Astyanax mexicanus: one gene and its partner. The protein of the gene in region 1 interacts with the protein of each later gene in a biochemical or structural test. Links are inferred from orthologs where the notes say so. Each region holds a gene or a part of one and is shown in the gene's direction. Other genes may lie near its edges. The genes, in order: hip1 and cltb.

Region 1 (9,636 bases):
ATGAAACACGGAAACACAAGGAAGTGGACTCTCCTGACAGAGTGAATGATTAAACACGTGTTGCTTCAGGGCTCAGCTGCAAATTAGCTAGTTTTTTAACCTACTGGAGTGACCCATAGGCCCACCAAGTAGGCCTTACGCCCTGAGTTCTTAAGTGGAATGTGGTGTTTAACTAAAAGCCGTAATTAAGGCAAAACCAGATGTTGTATCCGGATTTAAAGCTTAATTCATCTGAAGAGACAACAAAATCAGCTGATGGCGTGTAATAATAAGCCTACGAGTATTTAAGTAGCTAGTCGAGGGGGTGTGAAGTCGTGAGTGGGAAAGACACTATAGCTTTAGAAATGACTAACTACGAGAAATAATCCGTCAAGCTGTAATGTTAATGATTGGCTGTGACAGGACAGATTAACTGATTTGTTAGCTAGTCTAGCTGCAGCTAGTCTGGCCCTCTGGCACAGGCTGGAAAAATATTATCTAGTCTAATAGCTTTTATTGATTGTATATAACGCTGATCAATGAGCCATAAAATACTCAGCTAAATAACTAACTAACGGTTGGTGGCTTAGCTAACGCAGGCTAAATAGGTTAGCTAGTTAGCGAGCTAGCCATTAGAATGACTGAGCCCATTAGCCTATGATAAGCTAATTAAGATAGCTAACTAGCTAGCTGGCTAACAGTTGGCCACACTGAAGCCGTTAAAATTCAATAACATCCAGACTAAACACACAGTTTAGACTAGCTAACCTAATTAGCTAGAGCTCTTGCTTTCTATTGTGGGATATAGCTAAACTAGCTAACGAGCTAAAACGACGGGTTAGTAGTTACCAGCTAGCTTAGCTAACAAGCTAGTCTACGGCACACGCAGCAGACTGCGAGGCTAGCGCTAGCTATGCTCGTTAGCCCGGTGTTCTGACGAGTAGTTTACCCATCGATATGCGCTTCCTACCGGTACTGCGCATGCGCTGAACCCACATAATATATATATTCTTCAAAATGTTTTCATGTGTTTTTGTGATAATTCTATTTTACATTAGGGCTTTACACAACAGGGACTGAATTTCATTATTGGCTTGTTACAAAAAGTGCAAATGTCAAGCAGTTCATTATACAAAACTGAAAAATAAAACCCAGTTTCCAAGCACCTTTACCTGATAACGTTACTTCACCTGATTTAGGCTTTAAGCCAATAGGTATACCCTTTCTACAGTTTTGCTAGGAGGTTGTTCTAATCTGTTGCTTTATTTTGTATTTTATTTTTAATCTACCTTTTAAATTATACACTAGTGTAGCACAATTTGACACTGTAGCATAACTCGACAGAACACCGGCTTTAGCCCAGTGCAGAGAGCCGGAGCGCCGCGGGGCCGGCGGTGCTGACCGGCTCCAATCTCTCCCAATCCCGCAGCGAAGCAGCGGTGCCCCGCTCCCCCACACACCCAGAAACAGTGCCGAGGGTCTCCTGAAACAGAACTACCCGCTGTTTAATCCCACAGCGCGGCCGGAGTCTCTCTTACCTCGCCGTTGCTCACGGTCGGCTGCTGTGTTGCTTCAGTCTCCTGCGCCGCCATCTTACCTGCCTCTGTCGCACACTGTAATGCGGCGTTAAACGGTGGGGAGCAAGTCGCGCGAGAACTGTGCAGAGCAGGCGCGTGAATGGCTGAATCTCGCACGACGAGCAGGAGATCTCGCGTGATCTGTCGTGTGCTTTAATTAATAAGGTTTTAGATAGGTTAGGTTTAGCAAGATTTGTTGTCTATTTTAAGTCTCTGACTAAAGTATGCATCAGTTTACAGTGCAGTTAACGGCCAATAAATAATTAACGGTGCAAAAAATGCAACCTAGATTGCCGTTCCTGCAGAAACTGCGATTGTGATTGCAGTGCTGGTTGCTATGGTGTTGCTATGCGGTTGCTAAGGTATTGCTATGGTGGTATCTGTGTTGACTGTTATGTTGTTTCTAAGCGGTTGCTAGGCAATTGCAAAGTGTTGTTAAGGTGTTTTGTCCAAACTTTTGAGCCTGGCTATGGACGCTAGGTTGCTCTGGACATGTGAGATGTCCAAATGTTTGAGCAGTAGCTGGTTTATCCAGCAGCTCTGCCATACACACACAGTACTGGTGCACTGACTGGCATGCCGGGGCGTCAAAACGTTTGACCAGTAGCTGCTCCATACAGCAGCTCCTCCATACACACAAACACTACTGTAGCCCTGGTGTGTGAGATGGAACGTTGGGGCCGCTCATTCCTATGGGGCAAATTCGTATGGCAATTGTACAGAAAACATACATCGGATCATTTTGTACAGCATATTTTCAGAAAGAATACGATAAGTTCTATAGGCCTGCCAAATTTGGCCTTCTTATCCCAAAAATTGTGATGTACATGGGCGTTCAGATTTCTCCCTGTCATTTTCAAATGGGCAAAAAAGCGGACCATATGTCAATCAAAAAGCTGTATACAAGCCCACCATTCCCAATAAGGATGCATATTTGTACCATTGAGTCAATATCTCAAACATTGTGGCAATAGTTAGTCAGACAAAAATCCAGAATAATAATAATAATAATAAGAAGACTTCAGAAGAACAGCACTGTGTTATATTGCACACTACAATCACACTAATAACTTTGTTTATAAAACAAACTGAACTAGTGTGCTTATATAAGAACCTATATATATATATATATATATATATATATATATATATATATATATATATATATATATATATATATGTAGATTAATATCGTCATAGTTCAATGAGAAACAAGTATCTTCTTTTGTAGATTTTTAGTTTACTACATAATTTGAACACACAAACTGTCTCAAAATTTTTTATAAAAAATCAACCAATAGAAATTCTCCAAAATCAACAGAATTAAGGTGATTTCTTCTTTTTATATTTATTTTTATTTACAGTTAAGAAGATTTTATCTTTCTCCTGTAAAGCTGCCAATTTAAAGATACATGCTTTTCATTGGACAGCAACCATATGTAATGTAAATACGCACATACTAGGGGTGGGTGAAATGGTCCTAAAATAATACCACAATATTTCAGGGTATTTTCTTTATCAGTATATTCAGTGCGTGTAAACTCACTGTTTTTTTTTTTGTTTGTTTCATTGTAGGGCATACTTTATTCCTTACATATATACTATTCAGCAAAAACATTCTGCTATTATACTGCATTTTAAGCTAGTGCACCTGGAAGGTCTTAAAAGATCAACACAAAAAACATCTCTTAATTCTTCGTCATTTACTGCTAATTTTAACCCACGTTTGTGGAATCAGTGGAGTCTTGAACACAAACAGCAGGTGGTGTAGGTCTGCACTTTTCCTCTGTGCCTGTGGCAGGAGATTTTGTGCTGAATTGCTGTAAACCGATTGGTTTGTTTTTTGCTGAGAGTGGGGTGAAGATGAATATCCCTTACACATGACTGTCACTTTAAAACACCATTTCACCCATCCTGTGTAACCTCACTCTGACTGTGTCATACAATGCATTTTGCAACACTGAGAAATTTAATTACAGCTCTGTCTGTGACAGAGTGTGTTTAAATGTCTGAATCAGCTTCTACCTTAATTACACCTCTCCACTTTTTTTCCATTTTTTAAACATATTCTTCTCTCATAATGATTGTAAAGGGATGACAATGTTGCCTTTTTAAACTCTACTCACGAGAGAAGCATCCTCCAATTTTAGTGTCAGCTGTGTCTCAAAGCCTAGAATGCCTTACATTGCATAACATTACAATGCATTTAGCAGACCCCTTTATCTAAAGTGACTTTAAAATAATGAGGTACATCTCTTATTTCTCAGCCTCAGTGAAAACCCTTTATATACAGCCAAGAAAAACAGTCAAGGGTGGGAGTGAATTCAAGAATGCAGCTGATGTATGCTTCATGTTACTCAATTACCTAGAGTTCACTGTGCATGAACACAACATGAAAAAAAGTTTGCTTTAAAATGTCAGTTTTCATAATAATAATTAGTTTATATGATGAAATACATTTGTAACCACAAAGTCTTGTTAGACTGTTCCATTTGTATTGTTTTTACATATTAGCTAGGCAGATTTAGCTATGCCGCTCAGCTGCTCTCAGCTGTTTTAACCCAAAGAAAGCAATGCCAATTGTGCCCTCTCAGTCCCTGTCAGCTGATGGCGTTTGTTTTCTTCTTTTTCATTCTTGACTGAGACTGTAAAACAAACCCATGGCATCAAAAATGTTCAATCAAACTCTGGCTGATGATGTTGAGCAGCATGACCTGGTATTCGAACCAGTGATCTTCAGATTAGATCATAGAAACTGTTTTTTCTTTCTTTTTTTCTGCCCCTCAGGGTCTAAATTTTAGGAAAAATGTAAAAAAAAAAACAAAAAAAAACTTGATTTTCAGAAATCTTTTTTTTTTATATTTTATGAAATTTAAATTGTGAAGGAGCAGAAATAAAAATAGAAAAATAGGGAAAAAAATAGAAAATTCTTAATTTCCAAAAACAAACAATCCATAAAACAATCTAAACTAAATATTTATGTTGCAGTACAGCTCATTCTTTTACAAACAAATTATTTCAATATATTGTAGTGGATACAGCCTTTTTGTTACGAAGAAAATGACAAAGATACTTTGTAAATAAATTAAATTCAGTAAGAAATGCATTTAAAAAAATCAAATTATTAAATGTAGGTCCAAATAGTCAGAAGATTGAAGCAATGTACATTACACTGGCCTCAAGGGGCGGGGATAACAGATTGTTTAAGCAAATCACGGGCGGCGCGGGGCGGGGCCTGTGCGTGTTGCTGGCTGTGGATGTGGGCTGCTGATTCGTAAACTGTGTTGTGGTTCGTGCAGCGGTGGGAGTGATTTAGTGATCAGTGAAAATATGTAGGACTCTCTCAGACTTCGACCAGAGCAGGAACACGGCCAGACAAACAGATACACAGATACACGCAACGGGGCCTGGAGCTGAGCTGTGGACGCAGAAAATGACCGTCTCCTGCGGAGAGGGATTTTATAGTCGCTCTGTTTTGCGCGTGGTTGTTTATTAGCTCGCTCTGCACCGGAGGCAGTTTCTCAGTATTCTTGGATTTATCCCACAAAATGGACCGAGTGAAGAGCTCCATCCAGCAGGTCCCCAACCCCATCCCCAAAGTCCTGAGTCGCCGCGCTGGAGGGGCCAACAGTTTAGAACTTGAAAAGGAAAACTTTGAGCGGAGCCAGGTGGGTTAAATGACTGAATTACTAAATCACCAACTAACTAACATGGTCTCCGGTTTGTAACTGCGGGTTATTGTGCAGTTTTAGCTCAACTAATATAACGCGTGAATTTGAATGTTCGGCTAAATTTATAAAACGACGCGATTTGTATTTTAGCGGAATTTTAAGCTGCAACGAGCTGCACGCGCCAGTTAGCTAATTTAACTAACGGCAAGTTCGCTGTTTTCACGGTAGCTAGCGTTAGCTCGAGACTGTCCATTTTTGCTAAGTTACTTTGTCAAACCGTTATTTCCTAGAGTATATTTATAGGTGAAAATACAAAAAAAGTAAGTTAAAAAAAGTAAGTTAAGGCAATATAGTCAGGTGAATTAAAACCGTTTTTATAGTTTATTTTTTATATATTTTATTATATATATATATATATATATATATATATATATATATATATATATATATATTTTTTTTTTTTTTTTTTTTTTAACACGACTGGAACAATCAAAGTAAACAGTGTTAGTGCGCTCGGATTGTATAATCCACCTCAGAAAAAAAACATTATTATTAGCTAAAATTATCAGAAAAAACGCACGAAAACAGTAAAAATAAGAGGTAACGCATGCGCAGATCCGCTAAGTAGCCCATATCGATGAGTAACACAACTCGACAGTTCGGTCAAGTTTAGCTAACTTACCTTGTCAAACCGTGCTACCCCAGAGTATCTTTTAAAATGTATTTAAAGCTAAAAAAAAAAATACAAAAAACACTATATAAGGATTTTTTTTACTGGTAGAAGTCTAGGTAGGATGTTTGTATAGGATAAATCACTGTATTATGTGTATGTTACAGTCAGAAAGTTTTTTTTTTGCCAGTATTTTAAGTAGCAATTTACAGTTTGTAACATTCAAGGAGGTAGTTTAATGCACTCAAGTGAAACTGAATTAGTACAAAAAAATGTGGGTGGGTGCATGCGCAATGCCATTATGCGATGGATAGCATGATGGATAACTCAGTAGAACACAGGTGTTGTGCCGAATTCAGCACCCCCGCCAGTAAAAGCACCCCCTTTTGGAGTGTATTTCAAAGTTAAGTTAAAGCGCTGCAGGTGACATGACTATTTTTCATTATTTCTTAGGAGTCAGAACAGCATCTTAGGTATTTTCATTTTCTAAAAAAAGTTAAAGAAGACTGCACACTCCCGAGAGGGGGTGCTTTTCCTGATGGGGGTGCCGAGTTCAGCACAACACTGGCAATAGCCTAGTGTACTAATCTTGATATTTACCCACACAATATTAATCAGAACTCCATTAACTGATTTTCTGAGTAAATGATAAAACACTGAGATCATGGGAAGCTCTATTTATTAATTTACCTAGCTAATTTACCTGTTGTTTGCTTTAACCAGATTTAGTCCCCATTAGGTTATTTGTCCTTGCGGCAAAATAGAAAATACTAGCTTCTTTTATTTAGGTTAGCTACCTAACAGTACCACAATAAAGCAAGTAGTTAACTAGCTTAGGTTAGCAAAGAAATTATATCATTTATATCACCACACTAAAATCACTGCCTTATAAAAATAAACCACTGTTTAGTTCAGCATGTTTACAGGCATTGAGTTTCTCTCATCAGTCAGGAATAGACTCATACCTAACCTAGGTTATTTAACCACTTAACCTAGCTAGCAATATGTAATATATCTTTTCATAGGTGTCCCCAACAAAATAAGTGAAACTCACTTAGCTAGCTAAATGTCCTCCATAATTTATAAATAATTTGATAAGTTATCTATTTCTTTTATCATAAAGACAGAGCGCAAAAATATATGGCTAATGCTAAATTAGACAGTTAATCATTTAACCACTAGCTAACCTATATTTACAGTTGTCCCCGCTCAAAAACATTTCAAAGCATATATGTGCGTGTATATATTGTAGTATGTATTGTTCCTTTAAAGTCTGCTTTAGTGTATGTGTAGCTTTAAGTAGCTTTTGTCTATGTGACTGTAGCCGGTGGTGATAATGAGTCATCTTTACACAGCATTATCTCACTTCTTTTTATCTGTAAGGCTGGAATTGTTCAGGTGATGAAGGACTCCCAGAATTCTTCCTGCTATACACTTAGCTATGTGGCAAACCTTTGCTCATTGAATTCCATAAGGCTCACACAGGCTCATACACACCCTGACTTTATCACTAGCTGTCAGCCCTAATTTAGTGACATCCTACGACAAAAATGGCCAAAGGTCTAATCAGCTTGTACTTGTTGACATTTTTTAAGCATACAATTACAGTAGCTAGTTCAATGGTGTCATTACTTATGGATGCACAGTATTGAAATTCTGGGATGCTTCTGATGATCCAGTGTTCTTTTGTACATATCTGTCGATGCTATTACATAAACATCTGGTGGTGGACTAGATATGCCTGCTTTAGCATTTCAGCTGAGACAAAAAATCTTACAGGACTTTACAGGAGAAGTGAAAATCTGGGATGCACCTAAATATTATGTTTTGCCTGAAACCGAACAAAATGAAAAGCTTTTACAAAACTGCCATTTTTAAATTATTTATTAAACACTGAACATTTTAACTTCTTAGCAGATATAGGTACAAATCAGTGTCAATTTAGCCATTTTTTAAATAAAAAATCTTGGTTGGAATATATTTAGTGCATTTCGAGTAAATCATAAAAAAATCAACTGTTCAATGTTAACAGTCAGTAGAAAGTCTTTAGAGCATTTCTACTGGTCCATTCCTTACAACATTTTGAGAACAATATCTATGTACACAGTGTATATGATATATTGGTGTAGGCCTACTAATGAAAGAAATCTAAGAAAAGACCCAGGTTTTTTATGTAGTATTCTGGCAAAAGTCAGTTTAAAGCATAAGTAAAAATGACTGATTACTGACACTTTGTCATTTTCTTTGCAATGTTTTTGCATCATCAATATAATAATATATTACAATAAAGTAACATTAAAAAAGCGTGTCAGTAATTAGATGAAGGTCGAGGATAGTTTCTCAGACACTTCCCTGCTGATGTACATTTATCCAGCTGGACAAAGAGGAACTGTTAGAAGCTGTTAGAGAAAAGGCAACATCAATAAAACCAGTAAAATGATTGTGGATCGAATGACTGGACTGTGGCCTACAAGGTGGAAGTGATGGTGAGAGTGAGAGTGAGTGCTGCTTTTTTGGCACCAAACTGCTTTGGCAATTCTGAATCTCGTATCTCGATATCCAGCCAAGCCATACAGTGTGTTCAGAAGACTGAGGGAAACATAAAAACATTCTCATTGTGCTCGTGAGCTTCCCACCACTCTGGGGGTCCTCCACCCCCTCCCCATTCCGAGACAGCTAGCGAAAAGTAGGTCACACCATGCAAGCTGCATTACACTGCTCTGCTGGTGTTCTCATCGTAGTATTTTAAACACTGCAGCTGAAAGCCTAGCTCTTTTCTTATCTTCCTTTCTGCATGTTGTTATACAGTTAGGTCAATAGATAGTTGGACAGTGACCCAATCTTCATGATTTGGGCCCTGCATACCACTACACTGGATTTAAAATGAAACAAATGAAAAGTCATTAAAGTGTAGACTCTTAGGAGCTCTCAATGGAAGAGACACAGATTACCATCAGCCTGAAGAAAAGAAGGAATCCATCAGAGAGAGATAGTCGAAATGTTAAAGAGTGGCCAAATCAACATTTTGGTACAGTCTGGGTAAAAAAAGAGTGCATTGGAGAGCTCAGGAACTCAAAAAGAGCTGGATGTCCACGGAAGACAGGACCGGAATAATGTTGGGAAGAAGAAAGTATGGAGAAGGCTAGGAGAAACTCGACACAAAGCTTACCACATTATCTTTTAAACATGGTGGTGGTAGTTTAATGTATGGGCATGCATGGCTTTCAGTGGCACGGGGTCACTAGTGTTTATTGAAGATGTAACAGAAGATAGAAGAAGAAGAATGAATTCTAAAGTTAAAGGGATTTACTTTTTTGATCAGATTCAGCCAAATGCAGAAGGCTGATGAGCATTGGACAGTGCAAATGGACAATCACCCAAAACATGCTGCTAAAGAAACTCAGAAGTTTTTTAAGGTAAAGAAGTGAAATATTTGGCGGTGGCTTAATTAATCACCAGATCTGAACCCGATCCAGCTGAATTTTACTTCTCCTTTAAGACAAAACTAAACAACTGAAGATCTGCATTAATGACCTGGAAAAACACCATAAAGGAGAAAACCCAGCATTTGGATTTGTAAATACATGGTTGTTATTCCTAAACACTTCATAAACTATTTTTATTCAACCCTTGAATTAAACCTAAAAGTCTAAACTTCATCGACTTCTGATTGTTTCATTTTAAATCAAGTGTAGTGGCGTGCAGAACTCAAATCATGAATATTGTGTCACTGTCCGAA
Region 2 (10,009 bases), on another chromosome or scaffold:
GGTGGATTTGGGGGTTGATATATCTGAATATCTCCCATCACTAGTGATGTCACAACACAAGGAGGATGAAGACTGAAGACTAGCACATGGCTCCTCCATACTAATACTACCAAATGATACTTTCCCCCAATATCACCCAACGTCCGCCCCTAGACTCAGTCTTGCGTCAAGATTTACGGTTGAAGTAACTCAAATCAGATTTTTTCTCATTTTTGCTCAGATCTGATTTTTTTCATTACTATGTGAACATGCCAAATCCGATTTTCTCAAATCATATATTTGAGTCACTTTTATATGCGGTCCTAAATCGGATAAGTATCCGATCCACGGATATGCGACATGAATGTGAACAGTCAAATCTGAATTCATGAGGAATTCTTTTTGCTTTTACGCTTTAGCATTAGCGCTACGTGCTTCTCTCTCGTACCCACACTGCATCTCTTGGTGCAGCTGTGCAGCTAAAGCTGCAAAAAAACAGCAAAAGCAAACCGCCTGCCCTTTTTTTCTAATATGAGGGTTTTCTTTGTTGTTGGTGAAGAAGGATGTGCAGCATGTGAGACGGTGTTTCAGGAACAGATTCGTTCACAATACACACAGATACGGATCACTTAAATACATTTGTGAATGTGAACCATCAAGAAAACACACAGAAACAAAAGTGTTGGTCTAAGCTGACCACTTCCACAGAGGCTACTTCACTGCACATCAGCTGGAGAAAGTCTCTGAGGCTCTAAAAGTGTCCTCTGGAAATTGGAGAATGGCAGGGTTCACATGGGCATGGCAAGTATAGGTTGCAGTTTCCTAGTCAAACCTCTTCTCAGTACTCTCTCCTTCTTTCTGGTAGCAATACATAATAAGCAGGACTGAAGCCTTCCAACACTCCAACACTTAAACATGAAATCAAGAATCTACAAGAGTTAGTGTTAGTGACAAAACAGAAGAACCACATGTGTAGCACGTGTGTTACACTAGAGCACTATTAGTTTATCGTGATCTTTGAAATCTTTGATTTTATCAAATTGAAAACCTCTGGAATATAATCAAGAGGAAGATGGATGATCACAAACCATCAAACCACCAAACTGAACTGTGTGGAGAGTGGTGTAAGTGGTGCAGTGTGTAAGACTGGTGGAGGAGAACATGATGCCAAGATAAAGCATGAAAACTGTGACTAAAAAACAGGGTTATTCCATCAAATATTGATTTCTGAACTCTTCCTAAATTAATATGAACTTGTTTTCTTTGCATTATTTGAGGTCTGAAAGCTCTGCATCTTTTTTGTTATTTTAGCCATTTCTCATTTTCTGCAAATAAATGCTCTAAATGAGAATATTTTTATTTGGAATTTTGGGAGAAATTTTGTCTTTAGACTTATATTGGTGTGCTGCACCACATCAACCACTAATACCAAATTAATAACCAATTTACATCCCATTTGTGTCAAATGATTTGGAATTTAGACCCAAATTAAAAGGTTTCTCTCAGCCTGATAAAACTCACTCAAACATCTTTAATGTGTTGGAATTTAGACAAATGGACAACTTATTCTTTCTATTTTAAAAACTATTTAGAGGCTATTTTATTGCGTTTAAATGTGTTTAATTGCATTACTGCCCTACACATCTAATTACGTCTATTTGGGATTCAGACTAAATTTAAAATGGGGGTTTTCTCAGGCCGAGAGAAACTAAAACCTCCCTGATGAGTTTAAAATAGTTAAAATAGAGTTATCCCCTCATTCTTACACAATCAAACCTCCTTAATGTGTTAAAATTGGGATTTATAGACTACTCATTCTGTCAAGTTGGGTGCATACCAAAAGTAAAATGCATTTTTATCAATTTAGCATGCTTTTTATGCTAAATATGTGTATTTTTGGGATAAAGGCCTTTTCACAGGCTGACAAAACTGAAACCTCTCTAATGGGTAAAAAGTACATAAGGTCAGTCTTCTAAAAACTAAGTATGTGCCTATTTAAGTTAAGTTTTAGACTCAATCTAACACAACTCAAACCCCCTGAATGTGTTTAAGTGCATTAAGTCACTGCCCAATACATCCAATTAGTGTCTATTTGGGATTTAGACCAGATGAAAAAGCTTGTCTCAGGCTGAGAGAAACTCAAACCTTCCTAAAAACTAATGGGGGTCGTGTAATGACATGTTGGCTGCCAAGAATAATGACAATGAAGCGTAATTAAGGGTAATGACCACTTCCCGAGAGGTTCAACAGCACTGCAGCAGCCACAGTGTAAACTGCTGCATGAGCAGCTGTATGAATGAATGAAACTGTTAATGAATAGCTTGAAAGCTGTTATTATTTTTTATTTTTTTTAAGTTTTGTGGGTAGAGAAGCCTGAAAGAAGAGCATAAAGCAGATAGAAATACAGTAGGAAAGTTTAAAGCTAAATTGTAGTGCTGTAGTAATACTACTAAAAGTCTTGGTCTTGAATCAAATTAAACAACTTTAAATCCTAGAATCAACTAGTAAAAATCTTGGTCTAGATTCGCATCTGATGCGTCCCCGTCTCAGTATTGACTCAGACTGAATACTCAAAGCCTCAGTCTTGGTTCAAACTTAACTATTCAAAGTCTTGGTCTTGACTTGATTTAAATTACTAAAAGTATTGTGCTTGACTAAAATTAAACTCCTAAAACCCTTAGTCTTGACTTGATTTAAATTACTAAAAGTATTGTTCTTGACTAAAATTAAACTCCTAAAAGAGTCTTGAATCGGGCTTTTAGTTTCCCAGTTTTGTTTCAAACTCTAAAACTATAGAAAGTCTTGGTCCTGACTCAGATCTGATGTGTACTGGTCTCAGTCTTGAATTTGAATCGACAACTCAAAATCTTGGTCTTGACTCAGACTCTACAACCATGAGTCTTGGTCTAGACCCAGACTATACAACCTTGAGTCTTGGTCTAGACCCAGACTATACAACCTTGAGTCTTGGTCTAGACCCAGACTATACAACCTTGAGTCTTGGTCTAGACTCACACTCTATACCATGAGTGTCGGTCTAGGCTCAGACTCTACAACCATGAGTCTAGGTCTAGATTCAGAGACTAATTACTCAAAGACTCAGTCTTGACTCAAATTCAACTACTCAAAGTCTCGGTCTTGAATTAAACTACAAAAAAAATCCTGGTCTTGACTGAAGAATAAACTAGTAAAAATCTTGGTTGTGACCCACATCTGATATGTCGCGTTCTTGACTAAAATTAAACTACTAAAAGGCTCAGTTTTGACTAAATTGAAACTAGCAAAAGCTTTGTTTGTGACTAAAATTAAACTACTCAAAGCCTCAGTCTTGAATCAGGCTTTTTGTGTCCCAGTTTTGTTCTTGACTCAAACTCGGCTATAGAAAGTCTTGGTCTTCACTCAGACGTGATAACAGTTACTGAAGTCTTTGTGTTGACTCGGATCGGATGTGTTTTGAGTATAAAACTATGTTTCTGGCAGTTGTTGATAAATAAATCTGTAGGTTAGTGATTGTCCGCAGTGTTAGTGTTGTTAAAGCTGTTTTAAACTCCGCTCTGAGTGTTATGGTTTTCTGGTTCAGTAAGAATCTGCAGCGCTGGTGATGAATTACCTCCTTGGTGTCTCCGGACATGGTGATCAGGCTCCGGGCGGGCGGCGGGTGGAGGCTGTAGGGTAGCGGGGCTGGAGCTGTAGTGTAGCCGGGTTCAGGCTGTAGTTCAGCGGGGTGGAGGTTCGGGTAACTCCGCTCAGCAGCGCGCGCTCTCCCTCTACCACCACTTTTAGCAGGACTCACCGATACGTCATCCACCACGTGTGCGCGTGACGCGGCGCTCTCCGCTTGCCGTTATTTTTTTCCCCACCGGTTTTCCGACATGTCCCGCCCCTGCGGGCCTCTGACTGGCCTTGACGGTTGATAGCCTAGCTCTCTGATTGGTTAAAAGTTTGTACTCAGCGTTCACTACAATGCTATCTGTTTAGATAATATTTATCATTAATTTAAGATACTAATACATTATTTTTTAGATGATATTTCCTTATTTCGAGATACAAAAAAAATGTTTTGATTAGCTAGTATCTCATTATTTTACTATCTTTAGATATCTCATTATTTCGAGATACTAATGTATTGTTTTGAGATAAATTCTCTTTTTTTTAGATGCTATGGCATTATTTTGAGAAAGTAATTCATTATTTTTAGAAGCTATCTCACTAGTTTAGATGCTATCTCATTTTTTTGGAATATTAAATTATGTTTAGATATTAGGCTATTATTTTTATATATACTAAGTCATTTGAAGATGATTTTCTTACATAATGACAAATATCTTAAAATAGGGACTTTTATCAGTGCCACAAGTAGAATCATTTTTTGTTCCATAAATAATCATTTTTGTTGTATAAAAAAGTTTATATTAGTTATTAATCTTAACATTCACTTATTTAAACCTTTAAATATGAAACCTTTAACTTATACTTATTTTACTTATTTGCTTCACTTTTTTCACTGTGCAACTATGTGCAATATATACACGGCAGTACAACAGTTATATATTAACTGTCACACCACACTCATATTTCTTTTGTAAATATGGCTCTTTATAGAATTAAACATTCTTAATTGACAATATTTTATGTGTAAAACCAAAGCTGATTTTTTTCCTTAAATTAGTCCATTTAGGATTTAAAATAAGAACTCAATCCTCCCCAGTGTGCTGAAAGAGTGTGAGGGCTGATAGCCTCGCACTCTTATTGGCTAAAAAGTTTGCAGAGGCGTGGCTTTGCGTAAACGGGTGGGTAAAAAAACAAGGTGTGTCGTGCACCTTTATACTGTGAACTTCTAAGCCACACTTATACACGTATTACACACATACAGTCACGTAGTGAATCAGGAAACCCCACGAAAACCTGTCTTTTAATATATAAACCTTTTTCACAATACTAATTAATTGGCACAATAAACACATAACAGAGAAGGTAAATAATTTTATCAAAAGTATTTAAAATGAATTTCTAAAAATGAATGAATAAAATAAAACAAAACCCCCCATTTTGTAAATTGCTTCTGTATTTTTATTTAAATTGGCCTCAATTACAGAATTAATTAAGTAAAAAGTAGTTTTAAAAGTGAATGCACCTACAATGCAAGCACATGTAAAAAAGGTTAAAAAAATTCCCAGATTTTTTTTTTCCTTTTTTTGTGTTCCCCATACACTATACACTTTATGCTGAGGTTTATCTGTTCCCTACACACACTCTACAGACCAAACAGAACAAAAGTATAAACAAAAGTATTTTCCTAATGCCGTCCATTTTCACCTGACAAAAAAAAAAAAAAAAAAACACTTGAACGCATGTCGTAATTACGAACTCCAACCTCGAAAGTAGGAATTTACGAGGAGGACTTGAAGGCAGCATGAACCCGCTGATTTTGGCTGATTCAAAAATGCTAAAAAAAAATGGTAGGGGTAGTTTGGGAGGGGCACTGCAGTGATGTATGGGTTTAGGGGCGGGGCAGAAGGAAGAGGTAATTGGGCTGAGCAGTGAGCAGTGTGCCTCTGGACGTCACCAGGGGGGCGATATTATCATACTTGCCTTTAGCAAAGTTAAATATAAGAAGGTGCTGTAGATGTCGAAATGACTGCAATAAAGAACATTTAGGAAATGTTTAATCAGGAATGACATGTTTAATTACTTCAGAGTAACACATTTTAATTTTTAATAAATAAATAAAAACCGTGGTTTAGGGTTTAGTGCCTCTTTAAAGCATAGTGATAAACTCCTAATAATAACAATAAAGGTTGTGGTGAGTGTGTTTACCACTAGTTAAGTACTGTATGTGTGTTCAGTCTGTTCCAGCAGATGGAGACACAACACCATACAATCAGCCCCAGCGTTAGAGTTATACTCTCCTCTCTGAGTTCTGACCTCGGCTCTCCTCCACGTCCCTGTTTTTACTGCTTTTCTGGGACGAAAGGGACGAATTAACCTCCAGCTGACCTGGTTTAAGAGTCCGGCTCGATTCAGGAGATAAACCAACTCTTTTTTCAACATATTTATTTAACTTGTTTTTCCTGCGTTTAAACCTGAACAAAGCCACAGCTGGAGCCTAAGAGAGCCCGGCCGAGGTCTGAGGAATAAAGCAGGTGTTTTCGCCGCGGTGAAGATGGCCGACGACTTCGGCTTCTCCAGCTTCTCCAACGGCGCCGAGGCTGAGGAGGACCCGGCCGCGGCCTTCCTGGCGCAGCAGCAGAGCGAGATCGCCGGCATCGAGAGCGAGGCGGACGGCCTGGGGCCGAGCGGAGGCACGTCGTCTGTCTGGGTGATAGCGTGTTAGCCTGTTAGCTTAGCTTAGCTTGTTAACATTAGAGTCTACACAGATAAAAAGAGTCTGGACAAGGCGATACAGTTAATTTAACAAGGTATAATAAAGCGAAAACAGGATTTTAACGTTTTAACACCAACAAGACACACATTGGCTCCTTAAAAGCGCTTAAAAAATACAAAACAATTAACCAATTTCTAAACAAGCTAGCAAGCTAATGCTAACGCTAAACAGCATCCAGCTGTTCAAATCAAGAGTCAAGTCAAGAGGCTTTTATTGTCATTACATCTGAGTACAGGTACACAGTGTGATGAAATTACGTTCCTCCGGAACCATGGTGCAACATAGAACCACAAGCAATAGACAACATAAAGTGTAGGAGTGACGACAGTGCAACATAAAATTATAAAATTATAACACTAAATAACAATAAATACAATAAATACAAAAGACGAGACAATTTAAAGTCAGGACAGTGCAGTACCGATACGGTATAATAAAGTGTATAGTGAGGATAAGGTGCAGAGATGTGTGACATACTGTAACATATAGAACATATATAATCACAGCAGTTACTGAGGTAGAGTTTATAGTTTTTAAGAGTGCAGCAAATAAAGTCATGTCAGCCTCTGTGTGCTGACTGGGTGTGTGTGTGGGTGAAGTTCAGTTCTTTGTGAGTGTAAAGGGGGGGGGGGGGGGGGTGTACAGTTTAGTTTTGTGCGAGTGTGTTGGGTGAGTGGTGGGTGGGGTGGGGGTTCAGTTCTGTCTCTGTGCGTTGAGAAGTCTGACTGCCTGGTGGATGAAGCTGTTGCAGAGTGAGTTAGCAGTAAATTATTAGTTTGATACCTTGGATACAAATGTAATTTATAAAAATTGTGACGTTCTCTCCTTTTAATACTGCTTCTCTATTTATTTTTCTATTTATTGTAAATTTATGAACACTTTATTTTGTTCTGAGCTGTGATTTTAATAAAAAGGATTCGTTAATCTTGATTAATCTTGAAAATATTGCACACAAGTGTGTATAAACTAATGGGATATATACATCTCTGAAAAAAATTTAGAGAGCACCTCAGTTACTGAATCAGTTTGTCTTATTTTGCTATGTGTAGGTTTATGTTTGAATAAAATGGACATTGTTTTATTCTATAAACTACAGACAACATTTCTCCCAAATTACAAATTAACTTATTGTCATTCAGAGCATTTATTTACAGAAAATGAGAAATGGCTGAAATAACAAAAAATAAGCAAAGCTTTCAGGCCTTTCATATTTATAATCATAAAGTTTAAAGAAAATCAGAAATCAATAATCCTGGTCTTAATCACAGTTTTACACACTGCTTTTGAATAACTTTATGCCACTCTTGTTGCAAAAATTCAAGCAGTTCAATTTGGTTTCCTTTTGATTATATTCCAGAGGTTTTCAATTTGCTAAAAATCAAAGAAACTCGTCTCAATTTTTTTTCCAGAGCTGTAGAGAAAACATTTTTAGGTTTAGTGAAGACAATGGAAATGACAGTTTCCATTAAACTCCAATTAAGGTGGAATATACTAAGTGTATCTTTAGTGGTGGTAGTGGTAGGTTCTGGTAGATTCCAATGCTGTGAGCGTTTCTCTACCTGGTTAGTTAACTAGTATATTACATCTTTACTGTTAAACTTTTGGTAACATAATTACTGTAAGATTCTGGTAGGTTCTAATGTAATGATCATTTAGGGTAATACATCTGGACTGTCAACGTCCCTGGTAGAATATCCGCTGGTGTATTCCACTAGGTTTCAGTGTTTTCAGCACTTTTTATATAAGGTATATTAACACTACTTACTGTAGTACACCTGAGCTTTTAAACTTCTGTTAAAATAACGTCTGTTGCCACCTCACCGAATGAGCAAGCTGATCATTCATCTCTGGTTTACATATAGGACTCAGTAACAGTCATATAGCCGGGCAGGTTTTACAGCATTCCTCTTCTACTAGTAGTTCTTCTGAGAGGAAATACGAAAAGCGTTGCTCAACAAGACCAGAACTCACAGGATTTTACAGTCTGTCTCTCTTCTTTTCTTAAATCAGATGCGTTTGGAGAAGCACCTGCTGCAGCAGTAAACGGAGACATGTTTGAGGTGTGTTTTTATGGTGTCATTTACTTTTTTTTAATTAAATGGAATATTGGATAAGGTAGATAATTTGTATGTTGTAGGCTGTTGTGCTGTAAGTGTGTAGTTTGTGTGTGGTTACTCAGTATAAATCAGTATACTCTGTATAAATCTACAATGTTTACAATGTGACCACCATAGATGGTCAATATATGTTTTCTAATGCTGTTTTATGAATGGTTTAGGACTCGAATGGAGTAACAGACAGCTATGCAGCCATCGCCCAGGTCGACCAGCTGAGGCAGGAGCCTGAAAGCTTGCGCAAGTGGCGGGAGGAGCAGAAGACCAGGCTGGAGGAGCTAGGTATACTTATTTATTTAATTATTTAAAGGTATATTAAAGTAGAATTTTAGTAAATAAAGTGTTCAGTATTTTCCAGACTATAAGACATACCGGATAAGCGACACTAGTAAGGATTCCTACATCGAAGTGAATAAGGGTGTCGCCATGTTTCCATTTATTTACAGTAAGCTTAGGTTTCCAGTATTTTGTCTAAGGGTGAGTTTTCAGTGAAGTGTCTCCAGCAATAAGGCTGGGTGCAGCTGCATTAGCATTAGCCGCCAACCGCAGCACTAGCAGGACGTAAAATGCCGCCCAATAGCGCTAGACTGAGGAATCCAGTGTTCTGATAAGCCAGGGTGGTATCAGCTTGCGGTTCTGCTAATGCTAATGCAAATGCTGCATTTTTAACTGGTAGAATTCATACATAAAGGGCACCTAATTGAATTTTTTTGGGAAATCTAAAGGATATTAAATGCGCCTTATAGTCCAAACAATACAGTAATTACATAGGTATTAAGACAGTAATAGATCATAATATATCATTTATTCATACAACTGCAATGTATGTGTAATTTACTAAAACTCGGAGAAAGCTAGAGAGACAAAACGAGAGAGCACAAAAAGAAATGTTTATTTTTTGTTCTGCAGATTCAGCTTCTAAAGCAGCAGAAGTTGAGTGGAAGGAGAAAGCGAAGAAGGAACTAGTGGACTGGAATCTGCACCAGCAAGAACAGATGGAGAAGAACAAAGTGAACAACAGGTATTTCTACCCAAATACACCTGCGTTCAGTAATCCAGGAATAGTACTTATCTTTAACTGTCTTTCTTTTTGTTTTTATTTTCGTAAACAGCACTTGTAGCAGAGATATGTCTATAAAATACACTGTATAACGCCTAAGAATACAAATAAATCCGGTGAAATGAAAACAGTTTTTGCTATTTATAGGTATAGGTTTGAGTAAAATGAACATGTTTTTTTTTTATTATATAAACTATATTAATCACAGTTTTTTTCATGCATCTTGGCATCATGTTCTCCTCCTCCACCAGTCTTACACACTGCTTTTGGTTAACCTTATGCTGCTTTACTCCTGGTGCAGAAATTCAAGCAGTTTAGCTTGGTTTGATGGCTTGTGATCATTAATGCCAGGTGTAATTTATAAATGCACAGCTCACCATTTCTCATGTAATATTTCTCTTTTTTGGTGTCATTAAAAGGTTGCTGAGAGTTTCTTATGGCTTACTAACCTCTACCATGTTTGTGTGCTTT

What was found.
Region 2: the proteins of hip1 (region 1) and cltb form a complex in vitro, tested with the Homo sapiens proteins (2 studies listed by BioGRID, with this or other methods). The link is inferred for Astyanax mexicanus from reciprocal best matches to the Homo sapiens genes HIP1 and CLTB.

Annotation. Positions count from the first base shown.
Region 1 is NC_064425.1:13,904,161-13,913,796, reverse strand, and holds the start of hip1 (huntingtin-interacting protein 1), read left to right. Parts: upstream 1-4,830; 5' UTR 4,831-5,104; coding exon 5,105-5,224; intron 5,225-9,636. Other genes in the region: clptm1 (cleft lip and palate transmembrane protein 1 homolog), read right to left, coding at 1,518-1,571. UniProt on the Homo sapiens protein: Plays a role in clathrin-mediated endocytosis and trafficking. Involved in regulating AMPA receptor trafficking in the central nervous system in an NMDA-dependent manner. Regulates presynaptic nerve terminal activity.
Region 2 is NC_064426.1:2,413,264-2,423,272, reverse strand, and holds the start of cltb (clathrin light chain B), read left to right. Parts: upstream 1-5,839; 5' UTR 5,840-6,142; coding exon 6,143-6,281; intron 6,282-8,374; coding exon 8,375-8,424; intron 8,425-8,642; coding exon 8,643-8,760; intron 8,761-9,387; coding exon 9,388-9,499; intron 9,500-10,009. Other genes in the region: pdlim7 (PDZ and LIM domain protein 7), read right to left, coding at 3,590-3,610. UniProt on the Homo sapiens protein: Clathrin is the major protein of the polyhedral coat of coated pits and vesicles.